Linked DNA regions of Canis lupus familiaris. The protein of the gene in region 1 purifies or fractionates together with the protein of each later gene. This does not show direct contact. Links are inferred from orthologs where the notes say so. Each region holds a gene or a part of one and is shown in the gene's direction. Other genes may lie near its edges.

Region 1 (15,829 bases):
ACTTCCTTTATTTCATATCCTCCCAGCATTTGTTATCTTCTGTCTCTGTTATGATAGTCATTTTAGCAGAAGTGAGGTGGCAATCTCATGGTATTTGTGATTTGCCTTTCACTAATGATTAATGATGTTGATATTTTTAATGTTTACATGTTTTAGATATTAACCTCTTATCAGATATATCATTCACAGTTTATTCTACATTTTGTAGATTGCCTTTTCATTTTGTTGATCACTTCCCTTGCTGTGCAGAAGTTTCTTTTTTTAAAAAAAATATTTTATTTATTTATTCATGAGAGACACAAGGAGAGAGGCAGAGACATAGGCAGAGGGCTCCATGCAGGCTCCATGCAGGAAGTCCAGGATCACGACCTGAGCCAAAGGCAGACGTGCAACTACTGACTCACCCAGGAGTCCCTGTGCAGAAGCTTTATAGTTCGTTGGAGTCCAACTTGTTTGTTTTTTATTTTGTTGCCTGTGCATCTGACATCATATTAAAAAAAATTCCTAAGACTTACATCAAGGAGCTTTTTCCCCTTGTGTTTTCTTCTAGGTGTTTTATGGTTTCAGGTCTTATATTTACATCTTTAGTTCATTTTGAGTTAATTTTTTTGAATGGTATATAGCTTTCTTTTTTTTTTTTACATGTTAATATCTAGTTTTCCAAATAACATTTATTGAAGAAACTGTCTTTTTATTCCCGAGTAATCTTGGCTTCCTTGCTAAGTGTTAGTTGACCATATATACATGACTTTATATCTGGGCTCTTGATTGTGTTCCATTGACCTAGGTGTCTGTTTTTATGCTAGGACCATTCTGTTTTTGTTTTTTTTTTAATTGAAAATTTTATTTTTTTAACATTCCTAAGTCTTTAGATATTTTTAAGTATACATCAAAATGTTATGAGCACACTAAAAAATACATAAAGAATTTTATGGACCTGAAGTAACAAAATATATTTAGCTCTATAAAAAGTACACAGTGTAAAACAAACAAACAAAAACCCATAAATTTTCCTTTTTACCAAATATAATTTGATTCCCCCCAGAAGTTTGTTTTATTTTTCTCAGGCACTTTCTTTAGTGTTTTATTGTTACGTCTATAGATGAGAGAAGGGGCGCACTAAAATGCAGACACACATATACATACTCATGTCAATTTACAGTGTGTACACACCAAACCCAGATGCCTTTTAGGTAGAAGAAGTGGAAGAACCATCATCCCATTATATTTTATTATATTTTATTTTATTTTATTTTCATTTTTTTTGTTTTCTTTTTCAGGATTGCTTTGTTATTCATTGTCTTTTGTGGTTCCATACAAATTTTAGGATTGTTTGCTCTAGCTCTGTGAAAAATGCTGGTGGTATTTTGATAGGGATTGCATTAAATGTGTAGATAGCTTTGGGTAGTATAGATATTTTAAACAATGTTTGTTCTTCTGGTCCATGAGCATAGAATTTCTACCCTATTTCTTTGTGTCCTCTCAATTTCTTTTGTATATGTTCTATAGTTTTCAGAGTACAGATCTTTTACCTTTTTTGGTTAGGTTTATTCCTAGGTATCTAATTGGTTTTGGTGCAATTATAAGTGGGACCGATTCCTTGATTTCTTTTTCTGCTACTTCAATGTTAGGGTACAGAAATGCAATGGATTTCCATACATTGATTTTGTATACTGTGACTTTACTAAATTTGTTTATCAATTCTCACATTTTTTTTTGGTGGAGTCTTTCTTATGATTTCTTCTTAAATTTATTATGAATTTGTTGCCATGCTGGTATATACAGATCTACATATTTGGATTTAATATTACATAGTATGCATTATAGTATTTTATTTAGGTTCTCATTGAATGATAAATCTTTGGATGAAGTTCTTTTTTACAATTATAAGTAAGTATGAAAAAACAAAGTATATATATAACTTTATTTATGTGTGCATAAAATTCTTTCTTTCTTTTGAGGTAGATACCTACAAGCATAATTAATGAGATAACACTTTTAGGTATTTTACATTTTGCTAAATATGGCTAAATGTCTTGAATTTAGGTCTTTATCTCTGGTGGCATTTTGCACCACTCTCCTCCCACACCAATATTACATAAATGCCACATGGTGGGCATTTGCAAAATTCTTTAATTCTTGTAGGAATTAAAGGGTGCTGAATTAAAAGAATTAAAGGGTGCTGCCCACCCTCATCTTTTGTTCCCTTCTTATCCTTTCTTTACTGCCTTGTTGAACAGTGGGACTTTCCAGGGGGCTGATTAGCCAGTAAACAGGAAAATATTAGGTTTTCTTTACTTTCAGTTCCCTCTACCCCCTTCTTTCTTTTACACAACACCAGAGGAGTTTTCTAAAATGTTGATTTGAGGGATTCTTGTGTGGCTCAGTGGTTGAGTGTCTGCCTTTGGCTCAGGCCATGATTCCTGGGTCCTAGGATTAAGTCCTACCTCAGGCTCCCTGCAGGGAGCCTGCTTCTCCCTTTGCCTATGTCCCTGCCTCTCTTTCTTTTTTTTTAATAATAAATTTATTTTTTATTGGTGTTCAATTTGCCAACATACAGAATAACACCCACTGCTCATCCCGTCAAGTGCCCCCCTCAGTGCCCACCACCCAGTCACTCCCACCTCCCGCCCTCCTCCCCTTCCACCACCCCTAGTTCGTTTCCCAGAGTTAGGAGTCTTCATGTTCTGTCTCCCTTTCTGATATTTCCTACCCATTTCTTCTCCCTTCCCCTCTATTCCCTTTCACTATTATTTATATTCCCCAAATGAATGAGACCATATAATGTTTGTCCTTCTCCGATTGACTTATTTCACTCAGCATAATACCCTCCAGTTCCATCCACGTTGAAGCAAATGGTGGGTATTTGTCATTTCTAATGCCTGCCTCTCTTTCTTTGTCTCTCATGAATAGATAAAGTCTTTTAAAAATAATAAAGTGTAGACTTGGTAATATTGAGGTGTTTCTTAAAAAACTTCAAAAGTTCTTTGAAGTCAGAGTGTACTTGCTGTGTCTTAGCATATTACACAGAGCTGTCCCTGATCAGCTCTAGATCATTGCTTTTGCCATACCCTTTACTCCATTTTAAGTCATATTGAATAAGTCTTAGTTCTAAAAAGTTGACCTCTTTCATCCTTCCTTCCCTTGCTTATCACTTTCTTTTTGCTTGGTATGCAAAATACTCTCCCATCCTCACAGTCCATCTAGGAAGCTCCTTCTTATTTTTCAAGTAATTTCCTTGAGTCTCAGCTTTTCCATTTAAAAATAAGGATGAAAACAATCCTGCATATATATTGGCTAATTGAATTTAAATTAAATAAAAAAGGAATTAGCATTAGGGAATTTTATGAACAATATTTTCACTTATTAAAGGACACTTTAAGCTGAAAAATAAAATTAAAAAATCAAAACAAAACAACAGCTCCATCTTGGTTTTATAGTAAATCTATGAGATAATCTTACTTAAAGTCATTATTTCAGCCAAGCATATAGTAAACACTTAAAAAATGTTAAATATTCTTCCTCAGTTTTCTTTTGTGACACATTTTTATAATGTAAAGTATATCAGTACATTTAAAAAACATAATAATTTGACAATAGAGTACATGGCAAGATATCTGTGCTCAGTGAATGTAGAACTGAGTCGAATGGATTGGTTGAGACCAAGAGAAATGATGGTTACAGCCCTCTAATCAAGTGGTTGTTTGATTGCCTAAATATTTCATCATGCACCCCATGCATCCATCACTCAGTCTCAATGGTTATTAACATTTTGATAATTCAGATGTGACTTATTCTTAACAAAACCACCTTGTGCTTGTAACTGCTGCATTTCATGGTGCACTGTTCCTCAAATACTTGTTTCATAATCATTTCCAGTCCTTTTATGGAAATGATGGCAGAGGTTTCCATTTTGTATCCTGCAAAATATTTTTTCCTTTCCTTTTGAATGACATGTTCAGTCTTCTGGAATGATCTTTATCTTTGCTGGTGTCTTAGTCTGTTCAGGCTGCTGTAACAAAAGTACCATAGTCTGAGTGACTCAAACAACAAACAGTTATGTCTCACAGTTCTGGAGGTGGAAAGCTGAAGATCAAGGTGTCCATAGATCATCTGGTTCCTGGTGAGAATTCTCTTCCTGGCTTTCAGACACCCATCTTATTGTGTCAGCACATGGCAGTAGGGGAAAGGGAACTCTCTAGGGTCTGTTTTATCATGGCCCTAATTCCATAATGAATACTCTATGTTCAAGATCTGATTACCTCTCAAAGGCTGCACCTGCCTACCATCACAATAAGTATTAAGATTTCAACATGATTTTGAGAGGACACAAATGTTTGGTTCATAACGCTGATAATCTTGCAAATACCTTCTGTATCCTAATTAAGGACCACCTGATGAAATTGTTCCTAGCTGGAAATAAAGTTATTACTAGAAGCCCTTTAAAACTTGCCTTGTTTTTTTTGTTTTTGTTTTTGTTTTTTTTTTTAAACTCATCCATCTTGGGCTTTATTCTCCTCTTTGTCTTGCTTATTCTTTTTTTTTTTTTTAATTATGATTCATCCTTGACTGGGGAGATGGAAAGCACTGTGTAGATAAGTACTTCTGCTTTCTTTTGATCACCTGCTGGTACTACTTTCTATGTGTCTTTTTTTCCTGATTCTAAAACATCTTAGAGCTTAAAAACATAACATTGTTAAGGATTCTGGCAGAAAGAATTTGATTGCATGAGATGTTGTTAAGTCAAAGTTTTGTTGAAGGTCTAGCATATGTGGCTTTCTGTGTATGTGTACCACCTTCTGAGCTTCTATGCTAGAATGATGCAGCTCTACCTCAGAGAATCATGCTCCTGTTGGGTGATAGGATATATTCACTTTGACCCAAGTGCAGCACACCAAACATCTTAATCCCTGAGTGTAATTAATGAGTGTAATGCAAATCTAGATCTCTGCTCCAAGAGACCCCTTCTAGTGAAGAAGGAAGAGTGATATGGATAGAAGGGACACAGAGGAGCAAAGACCCTATAAGGCTTAAGTCCAAGTCCCCTCTCCACTAAACACTTGCTCTTTGACCTTAAGAGAAACATATGATTTAATAACCTCAGATGTGTAATCTGTAAAAGATATATAATAGTTACAGCTGCACTGCCACCTCGCTCAGTTAGTGTGAGAATCAAATAAGGCAAGTGCCTGCATTGTTATTGGAATTAACAGTGTAGGATAATCTGGGATTTTTTTTTTTTTTTTTTTTTTTTTTTTTTGGTATTAAGATGTGGTGGTAAGGAGCATGCATAGGAGAGGGAATATGTGTAAGAAAGAAGAAGAATGTGGAAGGAATCTGGATCAGTTTGCTTTTGCTCTGTCTCTTCTAATGATCCCAGCAAGACATCTGCTGTGACCATTACTTGTCTCTCTTATTGGTCCACAGGCAGAGTCATGCTCTCCTCAGATTGTATGCAAGATGCTGGCTCCTGACCTTGAAGTTGAAGGATGCAGCTTTTTTTTTTTTTTTTTTAAAGATTTCATTTATTTGAGAGAGAGAAAGAGTGAGTGAGAGAGAGCACCAGTGGGCAGTGCAGGAAGACAGAGGGAGATGCAGACTCCCCACTGAACAGAGAACCTGACTCAGGGCTTGATCCCAGAACCCCAGGATCACAACCTGAGCCCCCAGGTGACGCAAGGATGCACCTTTTTAGATAAGATGAGATTCCTGTGGCAAGATAGCTGAACCATGTTCAAGGAAGGCTGAACATTGAAGGCTTGTTCTTGTTCCTTCTCCAGGTTGGTGAATTCTGGCCTCACACCAGGTTGCTGTCCAGCTCTGGCCTCCATGCTCAGCACTAACCAGAAGCTCACACACCTTTACCTACGGGGCAATGCTCTTGGAGACACAGGGGTGAAGCTACTCTGTGAGGGCCTCTTGCACCCCAACTGCAAGCTTCAGATATTAGAGTAGGTCTCATAGCTAATTACAATGTTGGGGATGCATGGTGGCTAAGGTGGGGGGATGATAATGGGATGATTTGTATCTGAGAAGTGATGGTGTCCTCTTGAGGTTCAGCTTATTTCAGGATCCTGAGACTGAGAGGACCTCTACTTCTTGTAAATACTGGATTTCCCTCACCACAAAAGAATAGGGTGATTGGCACTGTGTTTTAGGGAAACTTGAAGAGAGGCATAGAATTTGGCAAAAATCAATTCACAATTACTAATTTGATCTTCACAATCTAGTAGACTGGAAAAAATACTTTCATCTGAAAAAGGGGAGAAAAATAACCATGGGCACAAAAAGTTATTCCAAGTTAGTTAATCCTGCGCTTTTTGTGCATTTGAAACATTGCAAGCTGAGAGCTTGTGGAGTTGGGGGGATGGTGAACAGGGCATTTTTTCTAAATCACCCTCTTCCTTGCAGATTGGATGGCTGTAGCCTCACCTCACACTGTTGCTGGGATCTGTCCACGCTTCTGACCTCCAGCAAGAGCCTCCGGGAGCTAAGCCTGGGCAGCAATGACCTGGGAGATCTAGGGGTCATGCTGCTCTGCGAAGTGCTAAAACAACAGGGCTGCATCCTACAAAGCCTGAAGTAAGTGTGCTCTGCACAGACTCACGTGGCAGCATTCAGAGTCCCAAGGACAAGTTGATCAGTTATCAAAACCCCAGATGGTTTCATCTGTACTCAGACTGAGATTGAGCCTGAGCCTGTTGTCCCAGACTTTTTTTTATAGGGTATATGAGTTATGAACCAATATTTAACTTTATCTGGACAGTCAGAATAATTAACATTCAGTTGGGTGTGAAAAGTTTCCATTCATGTTCCCCAAAAAACACAAGTCCCAATGAAAGTGGAGGACTAGGGCTATATGGCTCTTTAAGTGACCATATGTACTTTGAGAACAAGAGCATCCGTGGTTCATCTTAATCACAAAGGTCTTTGCACAGTGGGGTGTTCTGAGGATTTCTAAGTGGGAAAAGAGAGTTCCAGAAACATGAAGTTTAGAAGTTCCATGAACCAGCTTATGTGCATTGTGTTGGGTTTTATTATTAGTGATACCACCAGATATTCATTACCTCTCCAGTAAGAGCTTCCTAATGAGTCCTGTACGTTTGTCAGCCCTGATGATCACATTCTCCACAGAAGACACTCCCCTCACTTAGTGTTAGGGGGTCACACCTTTTCACAGTGGATTTCTTCCACTTCATTTGCTGTTTCTGCTCAGTCTCCTTTGTGGATTCTCTTTATCCTCCTGACCTGCACATGCTGAATCCTCAGGATTCCATCATTGGGCTAATTTTTCTTCTCTATACTTCATCCCATGTGGACATCATCTAGTCTTCTGGCTTTACCATATATATGTTGTGCTACCCAACTTATACCTGCACGAATTCCATGTCCAAGTGCTAATCTGACCTTTCTGTTTGTATGTCTAATAAACCTTCTAAACTTTACATGTCCAAATCCAAACCGCATTACCCCTTCTGCCAAAAAACTGCTTTGTCCCCATCTCAGTCAATGGTTACTCACTGTGAATTTCTCAAGCTAAAAAAAAAAAAAGGAAAAAAAAAAAAAAAAGAAAAAAGAAAACCTGTGTCATCTTTGACACCTCTTTTTTGTTATGCACACGTCCAACTCATTGACGTGCCCTGATAGGTTTCATAACATACCTGTTATTGACCTCTTCTTGCCAGTTTTGTGACTCCTACCCTGGTTCGAGCCATTTGCCCTCTTGTCTGGAATATTCTGGTGGCATTCTGCATCTCTTATTATTATTACCATGGCAGATGGAGGGTGCAGCTAAAACATGAACAAGTAATCATATCATTCCTACCAAAATGGTCTAGTGACTTCCTGTCACATTTAAAGCAAATTGCACAAACTCATGGCAGTGCGCACGGCCCCCTGTGATCTGGCCCCTGCTTCTTTTGCAAATTCATTTTCTCCTAATTCATGTTCCTTCTGCTCCACTTATACTGATCTCCTTGTAGTTTTGCAAAATTACTGTCACCCCCAGAACTTTGCACTTCCTGTTCCCTCTGCTGGACCTCTCTCCCCTTTGACATTGGTGTCTTGTTCCCATGTGTCTTTAAATTCTCTGCTGAAAGGTCTTCTAGATATCTGTCTCTGATCATCCTACTGAAAACAGCAGTCCAGCATATCCTCATCCCCTTTTCTTTGCTTATTTTCTTCCATAGTGTTGATCACCATTGTACAGACATGCAATATCATTTTCTTGTTTATTTATTATCTATATCTTACTCAAATAATATAAATTCTATTAGTCCTGGGACTTCTAGTTCATGACCTCAAGGCTGAGAACCAACTGAAATGCAGGTTCGCTTAAGCAGAAGTATGCATCGGCATTGCATCATTAAGCAGACACAGTGGAGCACACGTGCTGCAGGAAAAGCCAAAATTCTCAGAGCTAAGAAAATAGAGGGACAAAGGGAAGGATAGGCCAGGATGAAGCTGGGACATTTCTGTATGTGGAATTGCTCACCCAGTCCTGAAGGACTCTCTGGAGATGAGGGACAGGCTTCAACTAGACTGAGGAACCTCTATGCAGTCAACATGTCTTATCAGCTCAACACACATTCATTTCTCACAGTTTTCAATACGGAATGTCTAAGATCACAGTGCCAAGAGATTCAGATTCTGGGGAGAGCTTTCTTCCAGGCTTGCAGATGGCTGCCTTCTCCCTGTGTCCCTACATGGCAGAGAGAGACAGAGACAAGGACAGGGAGACAGAGTGTGTGCTGTGGCTTCTCTTATCATAGGGGACTGATCCCATCATGATGACCCACCCCCGCTCATCTAACCTTAATTTATTTCAAAGGCTTCTTTCCAAATACCATCACATGGAGGATTAGGGCTTTGATGTATGAATTTTGGAGAAACACAATCAGTCCGTCACACAAGCAAATCAAGATTGTTAGAAATGATGCAGGACAAATGGAATGATTTCTTAGCTAAGTTGTAAGGGAAACTTAAAAAAAAAGAGAGAGAGAGAGACAATAGGGAAGAAATTGTGTATCAAAGAAGATTTGAGGGACATACCAAATAATTTGCAGTGTGTGAACTTACATGGCTGCTGATTAAATGAACATAATATAAAAAGTGTATCAGCCAGTTGAGGAAATTTAAACACTGATTAGACATATATGTTGATATTAAAGAATCACTGTTAACTTTTTAAAGTGTGATAATGGAATTGTGGTTGTGTTTTTAAAAAGCGTTCATTTAGTGTCATATAGTGAAATATTTACAGATGCATGCAATGTTGTGTTTGTAATAATCCACTGATGTGAGGAGTAGGTGGGTGAGAGATGAAACAAGATTGGCCATGAGTTATTAATTGTCAAGTCTGGGTAACAGGCCTAGGGGTTCATTACTATTCTCTGTGAATGTACATATATTTAAACATTTCCAAACTTGAAGGTTAAAAATATAACCGGAAAACATGAGGCATGAATTATAGCATTGGAGAGTTTAGGAATGTGTTAGGTTAAGGGAAGTAAGGAGATGAGATTTTTAAGGCAAACACTCTGAGAGTGTTCTTCCAAGAACATAATGCAAGGCTCTTTATTTCCTCTTGCAGGTTGTGTGAAATGTATTTCAATTATGATACAAAATGTGCATTAGAAACACTTCAAGAAGAAAAGCCTGAGCTGACCATTGTCTTTGAGCCTTTTGGTAGTGACAGAAGCAGGCTGCCAGATGCCAGCGTTTGGGCTCCCTGCCATCTAGGTGTCCACAAGTGGGAGCGAGCACTCCTCCATCCAGGGTGAACACCATCTCTCGACGACTCCCCTGGTCCAGGGTGGGATGCCAAATCCTGCTGATGGTGCCTTTGTACAGAGAATGTGAGCACCCCCTTTGTCCCGGTTTGAAGACACAGGACAATCACATCATCCAAATGAGGTGGTTCTCAGTATAGAACCTTAGTCAGATATGTTCCTTTTGGTGACCTCATGTAACTAACTCATTTAATAAAGCACTTTTTCTGTTTCTTTTTCGCTTCTTACTCTCTCTAAATCTCCTTTCCCTCATATCTTTTTTACCTATCTTTGTTCTGTTCACTTTCACCCATCACCACTCCTACTATCTTTCCCTTAACTGACTATAACAGAACAAGTAAACTATATATTATGTTGCAATTTTGTGACAATGACTTATTTATTTTTGGTTTTTGTAACAGTTTTATTTTCTAATAAAAGAATTCATGTTTATTGTAGATAGTTGAAAATTCAGAAAATATAAGCCCTTTTGGTATTTATTGATTTAAATAGTTTTTTCCCCTTAATTTTAAAAGAAGTTGGCTAGAAATATTTTTTACTATAAACTACTGTAGATAAATTAAATTGCTTTATGCATTTAAAAAAATGAGTGGGAAATATCAGAAAGGGAGACAGAACAGGAAAGTCTCCTAACTCTGGGAAACGAACTAGGGGTGGTGGGAGGGGAGGAGGGCAGGGGGTGGGGGTGAATGGGTGACAGGCACTGAGGGGCGCACTTGACGGGATGAGCACTGGGTGTTATTCTATATGTTGGCAAATTGAACACCAATAAAAAATAAATTTATAAAAATAAAAAAAGATAATCCTAAAAAAATAAATAAAAAAATCTCTTTGCCAAATGATTTAATAGTAATAGTAATAGACGAAGAAAAAAAAATCATCTTACCCTGACTCTAGTGGTTGAAATTGCAGCTCTGCTGGGATAGAAAATTGAAAATCATGCAAAAGAAGGTTTTAGAGTACATGGAGCCTATACTAATAAATAGAGGTATTATGTAGAAAATGCATTTTACCTTCAATTGTAAGAGTTTATCTTGGGTTTATCTGACTTCAGGAGCAGTTCATCTGCCATACTTCATATTGATTAATTGCTTTTCTATGCATGGGACAACTCTTGAACCACATGGGATTGTTCAGGATGGAAACACTGTTTCCTCGTTAAATGAGGCATCCAGAGTTCTGCTGCTCAAAGCACTGCCTGCCAACTGTTGATATAAGAAACTTGGCGCAAGGATGTAGATCAATCACATTACTAAGCATGCTTTTTAGATAAGCTGATTTTTTTTCTTGGTAAGAATGCCTCAATAAAGGAAACAGTGTGTGATTTATATTTTGTTGCAAGCTTTTTTTCTTGTCTAGGACCAGCGTTTGGGAGTAACTCTGATCTAGATTTTTGTTTTCTGCATCTTGGTGAAGTGAACTATTACACACTGTCTCCCTGCCACACACGCATTGACTGACAGGGTAAAATGTAATTAAAACACAGTTATTCTGGAAAGAGAAAAACTTCTGGACACCAGGAACTTAAAACTGAATTGAGAGTTTACCAATCACTCACCCAGAGGAATATCTGGATAAATAAAAATGCTACAATATGACTATTAATTTGGAAGAAATCCATGAGGCTTCCTACACCAGTAGAACTAAAAAAATAAGTAAAGTTGTTGGATAGAAGATTAATATACAAACATCAACAGCATGAAACTGGAAAAAAAATAATTCTTTCCAACTATCATAGTAAAGATTGTATCAAGTATGAAGCAAATGGATGAGTCCTAAACGCTAAAAGGATGTGAAAGAAGAGCAGGTACTTACATATTTGGGGAGTCTCCACAGTTGGCTAATCAGTTGTGAAAGAAAAATATTAACTATGTAAAGAACAGAAATTAGATAGCATCCTAACCATCTCATAAAAGGTATCAATGGAGGCAAATGGATGTTTCCTTTCTGGTGAGATGACTTGAGAAGGTGAATAATTGCAGCACAGGATGTATATGCAGAACCTTGTCATTGGGAAACACTGCACCAATTCCAGATGAGGCAGTACAATTGAAAAGAGGAATTCTATCTGAAGAGGGGACTGTCATCTTCAAGAACATCCATGTCATGAGATCCACATCACTTGCCATCAGGGAAATACAAATCAAAACCACAATGAGATACCACCTCACACCAGTGAGAATGGGGCAAATTAACAAGGCAGGAAACCACAAATGTTGGAGAGGATGTGGAGAAAAGGGAACCCTCTTACACTGTTGGTGGGAATGTGAACTGGTGCAGCCACTCTGGAAAACTGCGTGGAGGTTCCTCAAAGAGTTAAAAATAGACCTGCCCTAAGACTCAACAATTGCACTGTTGGGGATTTACCCCAAAGATACAGATGCAATGAAACGCCGGGACACCTGCACCCCGATGTTTATAGCAGCAATGTGGAAGGAGCCTCGGTGTCCATTGAAAGATGAATGGATAAAGAAGATGTGGTTTATGTATACAATGGAATATTCCTCAGCCATTAGAAACGACAAATACCCACCATTTGCTTCGACGTGGATGGAACTGGAGGGTATTATGCTGAGTGAAGTAAGTCAATCGGAGAAGGACAAACATTATATGTTCTCATTCATTTGGGGAATATAAATAATAGTGAAAAGGAATAGAAGGGAAGGGAGAAGAAATGGGTAGGAAATATCAGAAAGGGAGACAGAATATGAAGACTCCTAACTCTGGGAAATGAACTAGGGGTGGTGGAAGGGGAGGAGGGTGGGGGGTGGGGGTGAATGGGTGACAGGCACTTGACGGGATGAGCACTGGGTGTTATTCTATATGTTGGCAAATTGAACAACAATAAAAAATAAATTTATATATATAAAAAAAGAACATCCATGTCAGTATTGATAACAGGTAATTCTTGGGAGGGGAAGGGGGGTGGTTATGGGATTGCACTATATGCTATTCATATTCTTTTTTTTTTAGATTTATTTATTTGAGAGACAGAACTCAGGAGAGTGGGGGGAGGGAGAGAGAATCTCACTTAGGCTGTGTGCAGAGCACAAAGCCCAGCACACAACCCTGAGATCATGACCCGAGTCAAATCAAGAGTCATCCTGTCACCCAAGTGAACCCCCCAGGCACCCTTATCATTCTTATTCTTGTATCTTTTCTGTACATATGGCATTATTTCCTAATTAAACATAATAAAACAATAAAATTAAAAATGCTTAATAGCACTCCTAAGCTCCTGCAATTTAAAATGTAATAAAATCCTATTAATTATAGCAATAAAAACTATCAGATACCTGGAATAAATATATCAAAAACTGTACAAAAGTTATACAAAAGAGACCTAAATGAATGGAGAACTATTCATGGATGGGAAGGTTCCGAGCTCCACTGCCTTTGCATCGACAAAAATGCAGTGCAATTGCAATTAACATACTAACGGGGATTTTAATAGAATTGAGCAAGATGATTTTGAAAATGTATCTGGGAAATAGTGGGGCAGAGTATTGAGGGAAATTTTGACAACCTAGTAGGATCTGCTTCACCACATATTCTGGTGCTATAATTGGTCTACATATTAGAGGCAGGATAGAGTTCATGTGCAGGTGTAGAAATGCATGGAAACGCAATCTGTGGCACTGAAAATGATGAAGAAAGGATGGTCTAGTCCAGGAACCTGGCTTTGACGAATTGCCATACTTGCAGGAACACTATTTCTCATACAAATAACTTCCAGGAGTGATAAAGACACTGGTTTTTTTTTTTTTTTTTTTTCAATAATTTTGATTTTATTGTTTTATTTTTCTTTTTTTTAAATTTTTCATTTCAAGTTTTTATTTAAATTTCTGTTAGTGAACATGCCTTGTAATATTAGTTTCAGGAGTAGAATTTAGTGCTGCTAAACATACAAAACCCAGTGCTTATGACAAGTGCCCTCCTTAAAGCCCATCACCCATTAAGCTCACCCTCTTGCTCACTGACATCCATCAACCCTCAGTTTGTTCTCCAAAGTTAACAGTCTGTTTTATGCTTTGTTCTTTTCCCTCCATATGTTCATCTGTTTCATTTCTTAAATTCCATGAGTAAAATCAGATGTTGTCTTCCTCTGATGGACTTATTGGACTCTAGCTTCATTCATGTCATTGTATATGCCAATATTTCCTTTTCTTCTTCTTTTTTAAAGATTTATTTATTTATTTATTTATTTATTTATTTATTTATTTATGAGAGACAGAGAGAGAGAGAGAGAGGCAGAGACACAGGCAGAGGGAGAAGCAGGCTCCATGCAGGGAGCCGGACATGGGACTCGATCTTGGGTCTCCAGGATCATGCCCTGAGCTGAAGGTGACGCTAAACTACTGAGCCACCTGGGCTGCCCAAGATTTCCTTTTCTAATGGCTGAGTAATTTTCCACTGTATATATAGACCGCAGCTTCTTTATCCATTTGTCTTTCGAGGCTCCTTCCACAGTTTGGCTATTGTGGACATTGCTGCTATAAACATCGGGGTGCAGGCGTCTTGCCATTTCCCTGCATTTGTACCCCATTTCCCTGTATCTTTGGGGTAAATCCCCAGCAGTGCAATTGCTGGGTCGTAGAGTAGTTCTATTTTTAACTCTTTGACCTTCACACAGTTTTCCAGAGTGACTGTACCAGTTCACATTCCCACCAACAGTGCATGAGGGTTCCCCTTTCTCTACATCCTCTCCAACATTTGTTGTTTCCTGTCTTGTTAATTTTCCCCATTCTCACTGGTGTGAGGTGGTATCTCATTGTGGTTTTTATCTGTATTTCCCTGATGATGATGTTGGCCATTCACATGTCTTCTTTGGAGAAATTTCTGTTCATGCCTGCTACCCATTTCTTAACTTGATTACTTTGGAGAGAGTGTTAAGTTTAATAAGTTCTTTATAGATCTTGGATACTAGCCCTTTATCTGATATGTCATTTGCAAATATCTTCTCCTATTCTGTAGGTTGTCTTTTAGTTTCCTTCACTGGGCATAAGTTATTTATTTATTTATTTATTTATTTAAAATTATTTATTTATTTGAGGCAAGAGAAAGAGAACATGAGCAGGGTGGGGGTTTAGAGGGAGATGGAGAAGCAAACTCTCCACGGAGCTGCTTGTGGGGCTCAGTCCTGATCCCGGGGCTCCAGAATCATGATTTGAGGTGAAGGCAGACACTTAACTGACTCCCCAGGCACCCTGAAGAGGCTCTTTATCTTGATGAAGTCCCAATAATTCATTTTTGCTTTTGTTTCCCTTGCCTTTGGAGACGTGTCTTGCAAGAAGTTGCTGGGGCTGCCATCACAGAGGTTGTTACCTGTGTTCTGTAGGATCACATTATATACCATATATAAATCTAGATAAGAAAGACAAATTTCATCGCATGTCATGTAAGCATATCGACAAAGATCACTAAATTAACAGAATAGAATTACAACAAAAGCATAACGTTTCCTATGGGGGAAAATAAAGGCATAAACCATTTAGAAGAAAATAGAGCAAAATATCTAAGTTATAAGTTTTTAATGGGTTTCCTGAAATAGACTTAAAATGCCCACAGTATAAACGAAAGGTCACTAAATTAAACTACAGCAAAAAGTGAAATTCTTTTTTTTTTTTTTAAATTTATTTATGATAGTCACACAGAGAGAGAGAGAGAGAGAGGCAGAGACACAGGCAGAGGGAGAAGCAGGCTCCATGCACTGGGAGCCCAACGAAAAAGTGAAATTCTTGAGTACTGTTGTAAAGTTAAAATTTTAGCTCCAACTTAAACCCTCTAGTGCCGGGCTCCAGTCCACAGTTCACTCCAGCCATTGTTCTCAGTAACTGCCCACATTTGTAAGAGGACAGCAGGTCACATCCGAGGACCACCTCCTTCTTTGCCTTTCAGCCTTGGGGTGTCTGTGACCCTGCTTTGGGCATGCGGAAAACTACCCCTGCTGCTTGGTCAGCCAATACAGCAGAGCAACTGCCCGGTGGCGCTGCCTTTGACCAACAAGGGTGTGGGCCCTGATGAAAATTTTTCTTTCT
Region 2 (16,260 bases), on another chromosome or scaffold:
GTTTAAGAAAAAAAAGTCATCTAAAATGTCTGATCCGGGGGCCTGGCTGGCTCAGTCTGTGGAGCATGTGACTCTTAAGGAGTTGTGAAGTCAAGCCCCATGTTGGGTGTAGGGATTAATTAAAAATAATCTTTTAAAAGTAGATAAAATGTCTTTGATGTAATAATTTTTAATAAATCTTGACCCTTGGATACAGGTCTTTAATATCTGTGGAACAAAATGAGAAATACAAACACATAAAACTTGCTACATAGTGAAGTGCAATGACTGTGTTCAAGGAAAAGCACCTAATGTGAAAATGTGTCACTTTTTTCATTGTACATCATTTCTGTTTTGAAAGAGTGACTAGCGGACAAACCAGGGTTATTCAAACTTGAGGATTTGACTGAAGAGTAATAATACTTGTTAATGCTAAAATTTGAGATTTTAAGAGAAAAGTTGAATTTGGGGAACACTTGCCTATTAACACCAATAACATAACAGCTTCTCAATACTTTTCTAAAGAAATCAGTATTGATTTAACAACGGTTATTTTTGATAATATATCATAAAATACGTTAATGTTTGGAAATCTGCATAACCAGTTTTTTCCAAATGACGTGTACATGATATTATAAAGTGATGCATGTGTGAAAGGTGTACCAGAGTATGAAAAGATGATGAGATTTCAGATTCTGTACTACAGTTAATCTTTGGGAAACTACCACTTGTCCAATTTGGTTATTTTAAATAAGAATATCCACAGTTGGGATGCCTGAGTGGCAGTGGTTGAGCGTCTGCCTTTGGCTCAGGGCGTGATCCTGGAGTCCTTGGGATTGAATCCCGTGTCAGGCTTCCTGCATGGAGCCTGCTTCTCCCTCTGCATATGTCTCTGCCTCTCTGTGTCTTTCATGAATGAATAAATAAAATCTTAAAAAAAAAAAAAACCCTCATCCCCACAGACAGCTACAGTAATCAAGACAATGTGTTACAATATATGAATCAATAATTTATGGTAAGCTGATTTTTCACAAGGGTACCAAAACTACTCAATGGGGAAATAATACTCTTTTCAATAAATTGTACTGGAACAACTAGATACAAAAGAATGAAGTTGAGCCACCTGACTCCCACCATATACAAAAATTAACTTGAAATGAAGTGAAAACAAATATAAGAGCCAAAATGATAATACTAAAAAAAAAATGATAATACTCTTAGAAGAAAATCTAGGAGTAAACCTTTGTATCCTTGGAATAGGCCATAGTTTCTTAGATAAGACATCAACAGCAAAAGTAACCAAAGAAACAGTAAAGTTGAACTTCATCAAGATTAAAAATTTTGTGCTTTACACTATTAACAATGAAGAGACACCTCATAGGTTGGGAGAAAAAAAATTTTTTTAAAGATTTATTTTTTATTTATTTATTTATGATAGACATAGAGGGGGAGAGAGAGAGAGGCAGAGACACAGGCAGAGGGAGAAGCAGGCTCCATGCCGGGAGCCCAACGCAGGACTCGATCCCGGGACCCCAGGATCGCGCCCCAGGCCAAAGGCAGGTGCTAAACTGCTGAGCCACCCAGGGATCCCCTGGGAGAAAATTTTTGCAAGTAATATATCTGATAAAGGACTTTATAAAGAGCTTAACTAAATAATGAAGAGACATCCCAATTTAAAACTGGGCAAAGGATGTGAACAGACATTTCTCCAAAAACATATGAGTGCTCAATAAACACATGAAAAGAGTCTACATCATTAGCCATTGGGGAAATTAAAATCAAAACTACAATGGGGTGCCTAGGCGGCTCAGCGGTTGAGCGTCTGCCTTTGGTTCAGGGCGTGATCCTCAGTCCAGGGATCGAGTCCCACATCAGGAGCCTGCTTCTCCCTCTGCTTGTGTCTCCGTCTCTCTCTCTGTGTCTCTCATGAATAAATAACTAAAATCTTAAAAAAAAAAAAAAAAAGAAAACCTACAATGAACTGCCACTTCACACTCACTAGGATGGCTAGAATAAAGATATGATAGGTGTTGGCAAGGATATGGAGAAATTCGAATGCTCATATATTGCAGGTGGACATTTAAGTAGTGTTACAACTTTGATAAACAGTCTGGCAGTTTCTCAAAAGGTTAAATATTAAGAGTTACCATATGACAACAATTTTCCCCCAAGTGTATACACAAGAAAATGAAAATATGTCTACACAAAACCTTGTGCATGAATGTTCATAACAGCATTTTTTATAATAAACAAAAATAATACCCAAAAGTGAAATATGATAAATCCATATTATAGAATATTATCTGGCAATAAGAATGTTGAACTGATAAGTCATACATTTAAGGGCCTTTCGACTCTGTAGCTACTGTGTATATATACACTAATGCAAAGTGAAACTGGACAGACTTGAACTCCCATTCTTGCTCTTCCTCTTATTCCATGAATAACCAGCCAATTGAGCAAGCCTCTCTGATAATTCTGATCTCACATTTTTGTGAAGGTGCAGAGAGTTACGTACTCAGCACATAAAGGTACTCAAGTAATGGATTTGTTCATGCTGCCTTTCCTTAGGAATTCCAGTGAAGAGAGGAGTACATGATGGAGAACAGAACATTCTGAGAATAATTTTTCCCTTACAAAGAACTTATCTTGTAGCCTCTTCTGTTAAGCAAAGTATGGTTGGAATATGAGCACATGCTTTTGAGATATGTGGATGTGTATCATTTGCATAGAAGTGCTTAAGTCTGTTCCATTTTCATCTTTTGAAGGCACTTTTTAGATGCACTTTAAGAAAGACACCCGGGTGGCTCAGTGGTTGAGCATCTGCCTTCCGCTCAGGGCGTGATCCTGGAGTCTCAGGATCTAGTCCCACATTGGGCTCCCTGCAAGGAGCCTGCTTCTCCCTCTGCCTTTGTCTCTGCCTCTCTCTCTGTGTGTCTCTCATGGATAAATAAATAAAATCTAAAATAAATAAATAAATAAAAGATTCACTCTAAGAATGAAATTAGAAAAAGGGATGTAAAAAGTAGCGTTGAGCACAAATGTAAAGCTAAAACATCAAGATAATTCAAATAAAGTAATCATAAGTGCTCAATCATAACACATGTAAGGGAGTCAAAACAATGGAAAATAAGAGTTGAAAGCACAGAATAAATCCAAGTGATCAATAGATTGAAAGCTATACGAAGGTAAAGATTTGTATTTTATTCACTATTAAGCATCTAACACAGTGATTAACTTGAAGTAGATACATAATAAATATTTTCTGGATTAATGAAAAAGATGCAACAACTATCTAGTAGGAGTTCCAGGTGCAAGACCTAGAAATGAGGAAATAAAGTATGTACTTCATGTCACAGTTTGGTAACTCTATAAATACATAGCAAAAAATAAGTTTACAAAAAAAAAAAGTTTACAAAGGGAAAAAAAAAGCAGATTAACAAAAGAACTCTCACCTGTCCTCACGTATCCACGAGGCAAGAAAGCAACATTATTAGGAGAAAGGGAAGACTTTGAACCCAGCCATGTGATGTCATTCCCAGAAAGTTCATCATTTTCTTGGAAAATGTCAATCAAGGATATACTCAAGCAAAAAGAAGGATAGGATCTAAATAGGAAGACTTGAGATAAAAGCGGCAAGCAATATTCATAAAATACTTTCTGGCAAATATAAGTTGTATAAAATTTAAAAGTAAACTAGAATAAAACATTTTTAAATATTAGAAGAAGATTTAGGGGATGCCTCAGTGGCTCAGTGGCTGAGCGTCTGCCTTTGGCTCAGGGCATGATCCTGGGATTCTGGGATCGAGTCCCACATCAGGCTCCCTGTGGGAAACCTGCTCCTCCCTCTGCCTATGTCTCTGCCTCTGTGTGTTTCTCATGAATAAATTAAAAAATAAGTAAATAAAATAAAAGACGATTCAGGGAAAGATGGTACTTAAGGACACTAATAGTCTCATCTATTTGGGTGAAGTTACAGATATTAACTGACCAAAAAGTACTTTTACCTATGGGTAACCCTTTCTATCCTGTCTCACTATGTGATCTCAAGGAACTAAATAAATTTTCACACAAGGTCATTATAAGCCATCTAGAGCTTAAAAACCAAATAGGCTGGGATAATAATGATATCCCTTGCCATTCAAACTTTGAACCCAAATAGATTAAGATAACAAGGGCTACTTGTATATTTGTTGAAATATTTATAGGGAACAATCCAAGAATATTAAAATGATGTACAGCTTCTAGACAAGTCTGTGGGGAGGGGAGTTTTTAAAAGGTAATCCCAACGAAAGAAGCAAAAAAATAACCAGATTCCTTTCTTCCTTTATCCATTCACAATTTGGTTTAAAAGACATTAATTATTTGAGACCAATTTAGATGGGCCTTGGATTGTTGCTGAGCAGCAATGACCTGGTGTGAGGTGTCAGAGAAGGAGGATAAGCATGAGGTGTGTGGAATGTAATGGAGTGTGCGGGGAGCGGGGGCAGCAGGAGGGCAGCAGGGGGTTGATCAGATACGGAAACATACAGAAGATAACGAAGCTGTGACACTGTAATAGCATGAGTACATCTAGCTTCTAGATCTCGGCTTCTAAATACTATTCTCCAAAAGGAACCAGGGCTCTTAGAGAAATGACTAACTTCAGGACTGGGGCAGGTATGTCTAGAAGATCTTACTGCGCCAAAAGTAAGGAAGTGTTCAAGGAATGATGGAGACATTCAAACAGGCGCAGAAAACATCTTGAAGAGCCCTCTGCTGGCTAATCTGGAGACAATTTTTATATCAAAAATAAATGATGATAACATTGTAATCCATTAAATAAAGTAGGAATTCATGAATCCACACTGATTCGAAGAATAAACAAATAAGGAAAAGAAAAAAACTTGTCTTTATAGGTTACCAGTTGATGAACGTAGGTGAAATAATGGCATTAGAAAATCACCGTTTGGGGCAACCTGGGTGGCTCAGTGGTTTAGCGCTGCCTTCAGCCCAGGGTGTGATTCTGGAGACCCAGGATCAAGTCCCACGTCGGGCTCCGGCCCCTTGCATGGAGCCTGCTTCTCCCTCTGCCTGTGTGTCTGCCTCTCTCCCCCTCTCTCTCTCTCTGTGTCTCTCATGAATAAATAAATACGATCTTTAAAAAAGAAACACAAGGAACAAAAACTATGCCTTTAGGGGCCCCTGGGTGGCTCAATCGGCTAAGTGTTCAACTTGTGATTTCTTTTTTTTTAAATTTTTTTTTAAAATTATGATAGTCACAGAGAGAGAGAGAGAGAGAGAGAGGCAGAGACACAGGCAGAGGGAGAAGCAGGCTCCATGCACCAGGAGCCCAACGTGGGATTCGATCCCAGGTCTCCAGGATCGCACCCTGGGCCAAAGGCAGGCGCCAAACCGCTGCGCCACCCAGGGATCCCTGTGATTTCTTTTTATTTAATTAATTAATTAATTATTTATTTATTTATTTATTTATGAGAGAGAGAGAGAGGCAGAGACTTAGGCAGAGGGAGAAGCAGGCTCCATGCAGGGAGCTGGAGAGGGACTCAATCCTGGGACTCTAGGATCGCGCCCTGGGCCAAAGGCAGGCACTAAACCGCTGAGCCACTCAGGGATCCCCTCAACTTGTGCTTTCCGTTCAGGTCGTGATCTCAACCTACACATCAGGCTCTGTGCTATGTGTGTGGAGCCTGCTTAAAATTCTTTCTCTCTCTGCCCCTCCCCCCTTCATTCTCTCTGCCCCTCCCCCCTCAAGAATAGCAACAACAACAACAACAAAACTATGCCTTTAGCAAACATCATACTTACTGGAGAATTTTGTTTACAAAAAGATTTTATTTATTTATTCATGAGGGACACACAGAGAGAGGCAGAGACACAGGCAGAGGGAGAAGCAGCCTCCCTGTGGGGAGCCAGATGTGGGACTCAATCCCAGGATCCCAGGACCCCAGGATCACACCCTGAGCTGAAGGGAGATGCTCAACCACTGAGCCACCCAGGTGTACCTTACTGGTGAATTATTCAAAGCTTTCCCTCTTAGTTCAGGAATGAGCTAGGAAGACTACTATCCTCACTTCTGTTCAACATTTTACTGGAGGTGCTAACTAGTTCAAAGGGTAAGAAATAAAAAGCATAAGGATTGGAAAGGAAAATAATAAGTGATTTTTTTTTGCAGATGAGTTGAATGTGTGTAGAAAATCCAAAGAATCTTTATAAAAATTAGAATTTGAGTTTAGAAAGGTCCCTGGATATAATATCAACATATGAATATGAGTCCTGTTTTTACTGATGAGCATCAATCATAAAATGAAATTTTAGCAAGACTCTACTGATGAAGAAGAACTGAAGTATTTGGGAGAAGTTCACTGACTGAGCAGAATCACCACTGAGGGGACTTCATGAAGCCCCTTTGTAAATAGACCACAAATATAAAATAGCTGTAAGACTAGCACCTCTAGTTGCCAGGATCCCTCATACAGGCATCAAAGAATGATCTTTCTTAATGTTTTTGTGGAACATTAACATAAATACATTTGGAAATAAACGGGGTGCACGCCGTAGATGGACTCTTCAGAACCTTGCTTTTTTGGCTCACCAGTAATATATCTTGGAGATAAATCCATATTAAAATCATATTTTTTACATTCTTGTTTTTTTGAAAGTTTTGGTTTGAGATAATTTCAAACTTAGAGAAGAATTGCAAGAATTGTACAAAGGGCTCCAGTCTACCATCACCCAGATTCACCCATTGCTGCCATCTGGCTGCATTTGCTTCATCTTTGCTTTGTCACTTTATCCCCTTCCCTCCTTTCCTCATGTGTATCTGTGTCTCTGTGCGTTTCTCTGAACCATTTCAGAGCAGTTTGCACATATCAGGCCTCTTTATCCCTAAAATCCCTCAGTGTGTATTTCCTAGGAACAAGGACATTTTCTTTCATAAACAGGATATCATCTTATAAAATTCAGAAGATTCAACATTGATACAAAACTATTCACATATAATCCTATTCAGATTTTATCTATTGTTCCAATAATGTCCTTTTATAGCAATTTCTTTCCTGATCCAGGATCCTAGCCAGGATTGGGTATTTTAAGTGTCTTGTTTCTCCAGTTTGTTTTTTTCTTGAGAGACGGAGAGAATGAGAGCATGCAAGTGTTCACACAAGTGTGGGATGGGGAGAGGCAGAGGGAGAGGGAAAGAGAGAATCTCAAGCAGGCTTCACGCTCAGCATAGAGCCTGATGCAGGGCTCAATCTCAGGACCCTGAGATAGTGACTTGAGCCAGATACTCAGTCAACTGAACCACCCAGGCACCCCTCCAGTTTATCTTTTAATCTGAAATGATTCTCAGCCTTCTTTATCTTTCCTGATATTTACATTTTTGAAGAGTTTCTTCTTTTATAACCTCGTTTATTTTACTTACTGCAGAGCTGGGAAAAGAGAAATTGGATTGGCTCTAATGGTGTGTGTGTGTGTGTGTGTGTGTGTGTCTACACTCTCTTTGAACTATAGTTGGTGACCATGAAGAGAAAGACTACAGTCTATTCCAATGCTATGCATTTTTCAAAGCAGCAAAATCCAACTGCCTCCCATCCCGGAGTGAGAAATATTCCCTTGGGATCCTAAGAGTTGGATAGTCCCTGGGAGTGGGGATGGGTGCCCAAAGGGGGCAGGGTTGCCATAGTGGACTATGCGGAGGTAAATATTCTGTGTAGGTGTGTGATTCACACACACACACACACATATATATATGATATATATATGTGATATGTATAATATATATGTGATATATATACATATTTATATTCAAGAGAAACTGAGTGAAGGAGGAAGAGAGGTTATATGTTCAGTTCATTCTGTGAAATCTAATGTTTTTTTTTAGAAGGGGGTTGGAGAGGAACAGAGGGAGAGGGAGAGAGAGAATCTTAAGCAGCCTCATGTCCAAGCAATGCAGGGCTGGATCTCACAACCCTGAGATCATGACCGGAGCTGAAACCAAGAGTCAGATACTTAAATGACTGAGCCACCCAGGCACCCCTGAAATCTAATACTTTTATGGTTTTTAAGCAGCCAAGTTATGGTATCTCATGGCAACATGCTAGAATCTTGAGGATGAATGGAAATGATTATGATGCATGGGAAATCCAAGTTGGAATGTACCTGAAGTATATTTAAAAATCAGTTTGCAGCTACTGAAAGGGGAGAGAACCATATAAATTGTTTATTACAAACAAAAAGAGCTAAGGTAACAGGCTTTGAGAAATGAAGTTAAAAGGATTAAATGTAGCTCCTGAGTAGAAGTTCAACGTGGTTTCACTAAAATGACTTCGCAGCGGCCCCTCCCTGCAGATGACTTCAGCATCTACTACGTCCTGTGAGCCACTCTCTACTATAGCTTTCATAAGAAGTTCAGTTGGGCGGTGGAGGATACCATATCAAAGGAGTGGGGGTTACATGCCACATTTGGAAGGGTTCCCTCAGGTTTGACCCAGTGGGGGTCCCCCAAAGAGAAGGGAAGATGCCATATATATGTGTGTGTGTATACACACACACTGTTAGTTATTACCTGATATATAAATCCAAATAACTCAGTAGGTAGGTACGTAGGTAGATATTCCTTCTCTCCACATTCCACTGTACATATATATGTACATATTATATATATATAATAGGCAAACAATAAAACCATTTAAATGTAATAGTTCCTCTGTAAAACGAAATTTAAAAATAATTATACCTACCCCATAGAATTGTTGAAAGAATTATTTTAAGATTTAATTTATTTATTCATGAGAGACAGAGAGAGAGAGGCAGAGACATAGGCAGAGGGAGAAGCAGGCTCCTTGCAGGGAGCCTCACGCAGGCCTCGATCCTAGGACCCCGGGATCACAACCTGAGCCAAAGGCAGCCGCTCAACCACCGAGTCACTCAGGTGTCCCTTGTTGAAAGAATTAAATGGGGATGTGAGATGGAGCTTTGCCCAAGCTTCACACTCAGCCAGGAAGCTGCTGGAAGATTCTCTCTCTCTCTGCCCCTCGGCCCCTCCCTCTACTCTGGCACATGCTCTCACCCAAAATAAATAAACAAAACCAAACCAAAAAAAAAAAAAAAAAAAGGGAATATAAAATGTGGAAGGAATGAACTAAGACGTGGTGGTGTTAAAGTGTGTTGGAAGTGACCACCAGCCTCCAACAGACGGCTATATACATGTGTATCCACGCGTCTATATTCATCTCACGACCCCAAAGGGTGACCTGAGTCGACATCAAGGGTCGGATACTTGACCGACTGAGCCACCCAGGTGCCTAAAACTTTGGAACTCTGAGGGAAAGTTCGCATGTTTAGCCAATGCGATTCTAGGTCTCTGCAAGGCCAGTATTCTCAGTCCCCTTACTGTGGTTTCGGGAAGAAACTTTGACTTCTGCTTAGTGGGCCGCAGGCGCCATTCGGAGTTCGGGAATAAGTCGTGCGGGTCAGGCCCGGGGCGGGCGGGCGGGCGGGCGCCCTCGGCCCTCGGCGGGCCCCTCAGAACGCTTTCCCTTCTTGGCCCGCCGCGCCTGCGCAGCGCAGAGTGCACGGATCCCCCAGACGCCCCTGCGCTGGCCGAGCTGCGTGCGAGCCCGCCGCGCCGCCAGGGGGTGACGGGCCTGCGCAACCTGGGCAACACGTGCTACATGAACGCCATCTTGCAGTGTCTGTGCAGCGTTTCGCCGCTGGTGGAGTACTTCGTCTCCGGGAAGTACATCACGGCTCTTCAAAGGTAAGGCCGCTGTGTTCCCTGCGGCCCAGCCCCCACTGCCTAGCCCCCCACCCCCGCCCCGACCTCCCAGGTGAGCTTCGGGAGGGAGCCCTCTCGAGCCCCCGCTCAGGCCCAGCGAGAGCCCCAGAGCCCCGGGCGCCACTTCCAGAGTGAAGAACCCCGCGGGGAGCTCGGCCGACAGACGGGCGTGGGTTTTGGTGTGCTGCCACCTGCCCCAGCTTGGAGGTGCCTTCCTTTCGGTGAAGTCGGCCGGAAACATTCTCTGCCCCTCTTCCAAGGGATTGCCGTGAGGTGGCCACTGCTTTCGCCTATGTGATGACAGACATGTGGCTTGGAGACTCAGAATGTGTCTCCCCAGAAGTATTTCGGTCAGCTCTTGGCAGCCTCTACCCAGCGTTTATGAAAAAGACACAACAGGATGCTCAGGAATTCTTGATTTATGTCCTGAATGAACTTCATGAAGCTCTGAAAAAAGTGAGTAGGATTAATGGCCTTGAAATAAGATAGACCTTCGGCTCTGTCAGCAACTTTTTTTCTTTTTTTTCTTTTCTTTTCTTTTCTTTTCTTTCTTTTCTTTTCCTTTCCTTTCCTTTCCTTTCCTTTCCTTTCCTTTCCTTTCCTTTCCTTTTTTCTTTCTTTTCTTTCTTCCTTTCCTTCCTTCCTTCCTTCCTTCCTTCCTTCCTTCCTTCCTTCCTTCCTTCCTTCCTTCCTTTCTTCCTTTCTTTCTTTCTTCCTTCTTCTTTTTTTTTTTTAAAGATTTTATTTATTTATTCGAGAGAGAGTCAGAGGCAGAGGGAGAAGCAGGCTCCATGCAAGGAGCCCGACGTGGGACTCGATCTCGGGTCTCCAGGATCAGGCCCTAGGCAGAAGGCGGTGCTAAACTACGGAGCCACCAGGGCTGCCCCAACTTTTACTTTTCATTCTTTCATCTGTTCTGTTAGTATTGCCCACTCTGTGCAGGGCACATTCAAGTCACTATTTGTTTTTGTTATAAAGATTTTATTTATTTATTCATGAGCAGAGGGAGAAGCAGGCTCCATGCAGGGAGTCCGATGCACGACTCGATCCCGAGACTCCAGGGTCATGCCCTGGGCTGAAGGCAAACACTCAACCGCTGAGCCACCCAGGTGTCCCTCAAGTCACTATTTGAATTGGTCTGTATTTACCAAGCTTAGCTCATCTTCAGAATCACCCGAGAAGAGTTTTACAACACTAATTCTAAGACCCTCACTCCCGTGTTACTGAACTAGAATGTCCTGGGCTGTCCCTTGGGAAAGCTCACGTGGTGTTTCAGTGATCAACAGGCGTGGGAAACACTAATCTGTTCCCTTTGCAAATAACATCTGCACAGACTAGTTGTTTTTTAAGTGATAATCACATATTTTTAAATAAAAATATACTCCTCATGAGATAATAACATATAGAACTTTACAACCTAAAATACATGTTCATGGCAACTACAGACCCAAGAAAATAGGAAGCTCCGGGTTAAAGGACAGACCTCAATACTGCGAAGTTTCATCTTTGTGCTAAACATTCTGAACTTGAGTTCTTCACTGGATCAGGACATAACACTTAATAAAACATGAGATTGCCATTTAGGAAGGTGTTACTTTTCTTTGTAAGACTCGTTGCCTTCAGTCTTGATCTGAGACACATACTCACCAAAAAGAGATGCGTGGTTTTATGTAGTGTCGCTGTGCTGACGTTAGCTTACCTTATACTTACCATCAGGAAATATTTCAGTAAATGATGCAGATGAGAGGCATTGATGACTCTCATCCCTGATCCTCAGATTTCATTTTCCATTCCTGTGATTCCATTTTTCATTTTTACTGATAGAAAGATATTCATGGCAGCACTTTTTTTTTTTAAGCCGGAAGTTAGGGTGGTGGCCAGTAAAATCACTTAGGTCTTCATATGCACCCAATCTGAAATAAACAGCATTCTCATTCCCAAGACTAAAGTTGGCATTAGGGCCATCAAGTTACCATCAGGTGGAAAACCTCGGTAGTAGGGCATGACGAAAGAAGCAAGGCTAAGGGTAGCAGTGAGCACAGCTCCAAAGTGGAGCTGTCTGTGGAGCTGTCTTTTGAATGTCTAGTGAGGCCGTTCAACCACTGAAAAGCACCAAACTGCTCCCAGAAAGGGTATTCCTCAATATGAGCTAGATCAAATCAGGCTACAAGGCTAAATTGAGCTGCCTTAGCAATTTAAGGTTTGCTCTTTTAAAGAAGTTTTTTTTTAAAGATTTTATTTATTTATTCATGAGAGATACACAGAGAGGGCAGAGACATAGGCAGAGGGAGAAGCAGGCTCCCTGCGGGGAGCCCAATGTGGGACTCAATCCCAGGACCCCGGGACCACAACCCGAGTCAAAGGCAGACGCCCAACCACTGAGCCACTGAGGTGCCCCCAAAAAGTGTTTTCTAACAATAGAAGTAGAAGATGCTAAATCTGAAGGGGCTGGAGGGAGGACAGATTTCATTTATCTCCTCCATCAGTTTGCATGACTGAAAGCTAGTTCAAAAGCTTACTTGTCCTCTTCCCAAGAAGAACTGTCTCTAGGACCCTGTATCATATGATCATAAGCTCTCTGCTTCTGGGCACGGACATGTGTTTTACCAGCCTTAGTGTGTCATCATTCCTCAGCTTTGCTTAAGGAGGAAAATAACTGAATTATCAGAAATCAATCCTAATATATACTTTTCTTAAAAAGGGATTTACTTATTTAGAGAGAGAGCACAAGGAGGGCAGAGAATCTTAAGCTGACTCCCTGATGGGCTCAGAGCTCTATGCAAGGCTGGCTGGGGAGCCTCACTGGAGCTCCACACGGGGCTCGATTTCAAAGCCCTGGGATCATGACCTGAGCGGAAATCAAGAGCCCAACACTCAACTGACTGAGCCACCCAGTTGCCCCACATAACATGTACACTTAAGAAGATCTTACCTATGTATTGTCTGAATCCAAAATTAATTGGTTTCTGGTAGCAGTGTATCATTCTGATCGAAAAAAAAATCAAGTCATTCTGTTAAAAGCTTTCTTTTGATAACCAATAGTTGATTCGGGGCCAATTTGTTCCTTGATTCAGTACCATCGAAAAAGATCACACGAAAAAGGATCTGTTCTCAGATGCTGCAGGAAGGTGATTGCCAGTGAGTCCTCCATCATCACACAGCTGTTTGAAGGGCAGCTCAACTACAGCATCATGTGTTTGAAGTGTGAGAACTGTACTTACAAGAATGAAGTCTTCACCGTCCTCTCTCTCCCCATTCCATCCGAATATGAGTGCTCTCTTCAGGTAGGGATTCTTGCTCCTGGATACCATCTCAGGGCTGCTTCCTACATTGTCTATTATGAGGGGGGCTGCTCTATAACTTAAAACAAATTGGAAGCCCATGATGACTATATTTTGTAGAAAAGCAACGTATAGTCAAAAGTTACTGTGAATTCAGTTGTATTTCTAAATGTAATCATTAAAACAGCCTCACTGTAAAATTGAAATGACTGGTGGGATTTGTTCATTCTATTTAAGATGGCCTGGTACATACAGGGAATTTACCTCTTGAATTTTCCTCACCATAATACCAAAAATTAATCTGTAAATCCAGGTAGCAGTAGAAGGCAGGGGACAGCTAGAAGGCAGGGAGCAATACGTATCCTTGAAGAATAATACATATTTATATTTTTCTAACTAAATTGTGAAGACACATCTGCTGCTATAAGTTTTCCCATACCAGAATTGGAGAACAGAATCCTACTACTTATGTAGAAGTAGGCTTAATTCTCAGATGGAATTGCTGAAGATGATTGGAAACAAAATCCAAAGACACTAAATGAGGCACTGGCATGTGTACTGAAACACAGTCTGCTCTCATCTTTCTCTTCAGGTTAATGGTTTGCAGAGTGGGGGGCTGGCTACATTCAGGATGGCTTCTGGGGGCATGGGATCAAGTTCTGTTCTGCCGTCTTCATTTTGGGTCACCTCAAAACACGGGACACGGTCATTTTCAGTTTTTGGATCACTTTTCTGATGAGACAAATAACCTAAGACAGCTGCCTGACTTGGTTAGTCGAAACTGCACAGTCAGTATTATTCTGAAATAAACCAGAAATGTTAAAATGCTGATCCAGAGATTGGAAGTGAGATGGGCACTTGGATCCATTTCAGTAACTAAGTGAGAGAGACGCACCTCCTTTTGTCAGGTAGGTTTTAAACCTGTCCAGGCAACAGCTCGTGACACAGGGCCTCCTGGATGTGTTGACTTTGGGGAAAGCACTGAAGATCACATTTCCACAGCTGTTGCAAAGTGCTACTGTAAACAGGCTGGGCTGCAGTTGATCCAGAGTAGTCACCAAATGCTTTTTTACCTCCATAGGACTGTCTCCAGTGTTTTTTTCAACAAGACACACTGACCTGGAATAACCAAATTCACTGTTCTTTCTGTGAAACCAAGCAAGAAACAGCTGTAAGGGCCAGTATTTCCAAAGCACCAAAAATAATTATCTTTCATTTAAAAAGGTATGGATTTTGATGTTTTCTGAGATTTTTTTTTAATTTTTTATTTAATTATGATAGTCACAGAGAGAGAGAGAGAGAGGCAGAGACACATGCAGAGGGAGAAGCAGGCTCCATGCACCGGGAGCCCGACGTGGGATTCGATCCCGGGTCTCCAGGATCGCACCCTGGGCCAAAGGCAGGCGCCAAACCACTGCGCCACCCAGGGATCCCCTGAGATTTTTTTAATGGCTTTCTTGAGATATAATTCACAGATCGTGCAATTAACCCATTTAAAGTGTACAATTCAGGGGCGCCGGGGTGACTCAGTTGGGTAAGCGTCCGATTCTTGGTTTCCACTCAGGTCTTGATGTCAGGATTGTGAGACTGAGCTCTTGTTTCGGGCTCTGAGCTCACTGAGGAGTCTGCTTGAGAGTCTCTCTCCCTCTCCTTCTGCCCCTGCTGCTTGTGCACATGCTCTCTCTAAAGGAAAGACATAAAAGTACAGTGTACACTTCAATGGAATTCAGTATATTACATTAGTTTTTAAAAATTTGTGATAAAACACAGGTAACATAAAATCCATGCTTTTAACCTTTTTATTGAACTCTAACAGTGTTAGATTAGGTTCAGGTGTACAATATAGTGATTCAACAATTCTGCTTTCTGTGCCTATAAACTCGCCTGTTCTAGGTACTTCATGTACATGGAATCATACAATGTCCTTTTTGCTGACCTATTTCACTTAGAATATGTTTTCAAGGTTCATCCATGTTGTGGTATGTACTGGAAGTTCATTTCTTTCTATAGCTGAATAATATCCCATTGTGTCTGCATCATATTTTGCTTGTCTGTTGATAGACATTTGGCACTCACAATGAGGACTTTTTTTTTTTTTTTACAATGAGGACTTTTAAAAAAATAAATTCCCTGGCCTCACCTTTGGGAATTCTTATTCCACAGGTCTGAGGTTGATTCTAAACATCATGATTTTAATTTTTTAATTCCACCTCATTTTTATTATAAAAAGTTTCAAATCTACAGAAAAATTCTAAGAATATATAATGAATATGCCCTAGGATCTTCATTAATATTGGTAACATTGCCCCATTTCCTCTTTTCTTTCTTTTCTCCTTCCTTCCTTCCTTCCTTCCTTCCTTCCTTCCTTCCTTCCTTCCTTCCTTCCTTCCTTCCTTCCTCCTCCCTTCCTCCTCCCTCTTCTTTCCTTCATCCCTTCCGTTTTATTAGCTGAATTCTGAAATAAGAAGCAAACACCATGGCATTTCCTGCTTAAGTACTTCAGCGCATATCACCTGAGAACAAGGACATTCTTTGAAATAATCACAACACCATTATCATGCTCAAGAAATGTAACAGTGATTTCCCATCACCTAACATACAATCTATATCTAAATTTTTCATCTCCAAAATGCCTTTTGTAACTTCTAATCCAGCATCCAGTCCAGGGTCATATACTGCACGTGGCTGTCTCTTTATTTTTTCTAAAGATTTTATTTATTTGAGAGAAAGAGCACAAGCAGGGGCAGAGGGAGAGGGAGAAGCAGGTTCCCTACTCAGCAGGGAGCCCTATGTGGGGCTTGATCCCAGGACTCTGGGATCATGACCTGAGCTGAAGGCAGACACTTAACCAACAGAGTCAGCCAGGTGCTCCTGGCTGTTTCTTTAGTCTCTTAATCTAGGATAATCCTTCCACCTTTTTATATATTTAAACTTTTTTTTTCTCATTAAAAAAGTCCTTGGTGGGGATCCCTGGGTGGCTCAGCGGTTCAGCGCCTGCCTTTGGCCCGGGGCATGGTCCTGCAGTCCCAGGATCAAGTCCCGCATCGGGCTCCCGGCATGGAGCCTGCTTCTCCCTCTGCCTGTGTCTCTGCCTCTCTCTCTCTCTTTCATGAGTAAATAAAATCTTTTTAAAAAAGTCCTTGGGGAGTCCATTGTTTATATTATATGCCCCATTCTGTATTTATCTAATTGCTTCCCCATGGTGAGATTCAGGATAAACTTTTT

The links.
Region 2: the proteins of NLRP3 (region 1) and USP50 purify together in Homo sapiens (affinity purification with western blotting; 3 studies listed by BioGRID). This does not show direct contact. The link is inferred for Canis lupus familiaris from reciprocal best matches to the Homo sapiens genes NLRP3 and USP50.

The regions. Positions count from the first base shown.
Region 1 is NC_049229.1:379,075-394,903, forward strand, and holds the end of NLRP3 (NACHT, LRR and PYD domains-containing protein 3), read left to right. Parts: intron 1-5,780; coding exon 5,781-5,951; intron 5,952-6,411; coding exon 6,412-6,582; intron 6,583-9,592; coding exon 9,593-9,782; 3' UTR 9,783-10,228; downstream 10,229-15,829. UniProt on the Homo sapiens protein: Sensor component of the NLRP3 inflammasome, which mediates inflammasome activation in response to defects in membrane integrity, leading to secretion of inflammatory cytokines IL1B and IL18 and pyroptosis.
Region 2 is NC_049251.1:16,736,572-16,752,831, reverse strand, and holds the start of USP50 (inactive ubiquitin carboxyl-terminal hydrolase 50), read left to right. Parts: upstream 1-8,129; 5' UTR 8,130-8,297; coding exon 8,298-8,350; intron 8,351-9,541; coding exon 9,542-9,736; intron 9,737-10,014; coding exon 10,015-10,210; intron 10,211-12,828; coding exon 12,829-13,038; intron 13,039-14,116; coding exon 14,117-14,259; intron 14,260-16,260. UniProt on the Homo sapiens protein: Deubiquitinating enzyme that removes conjugated ubiquitin from specific proteins to regulate different cellular processes. Regulates the inflammasome signaling pathway by deubiquitinating 'Lys-63'-linked polyubiquitination of the PYCARD/ASC adapter protein.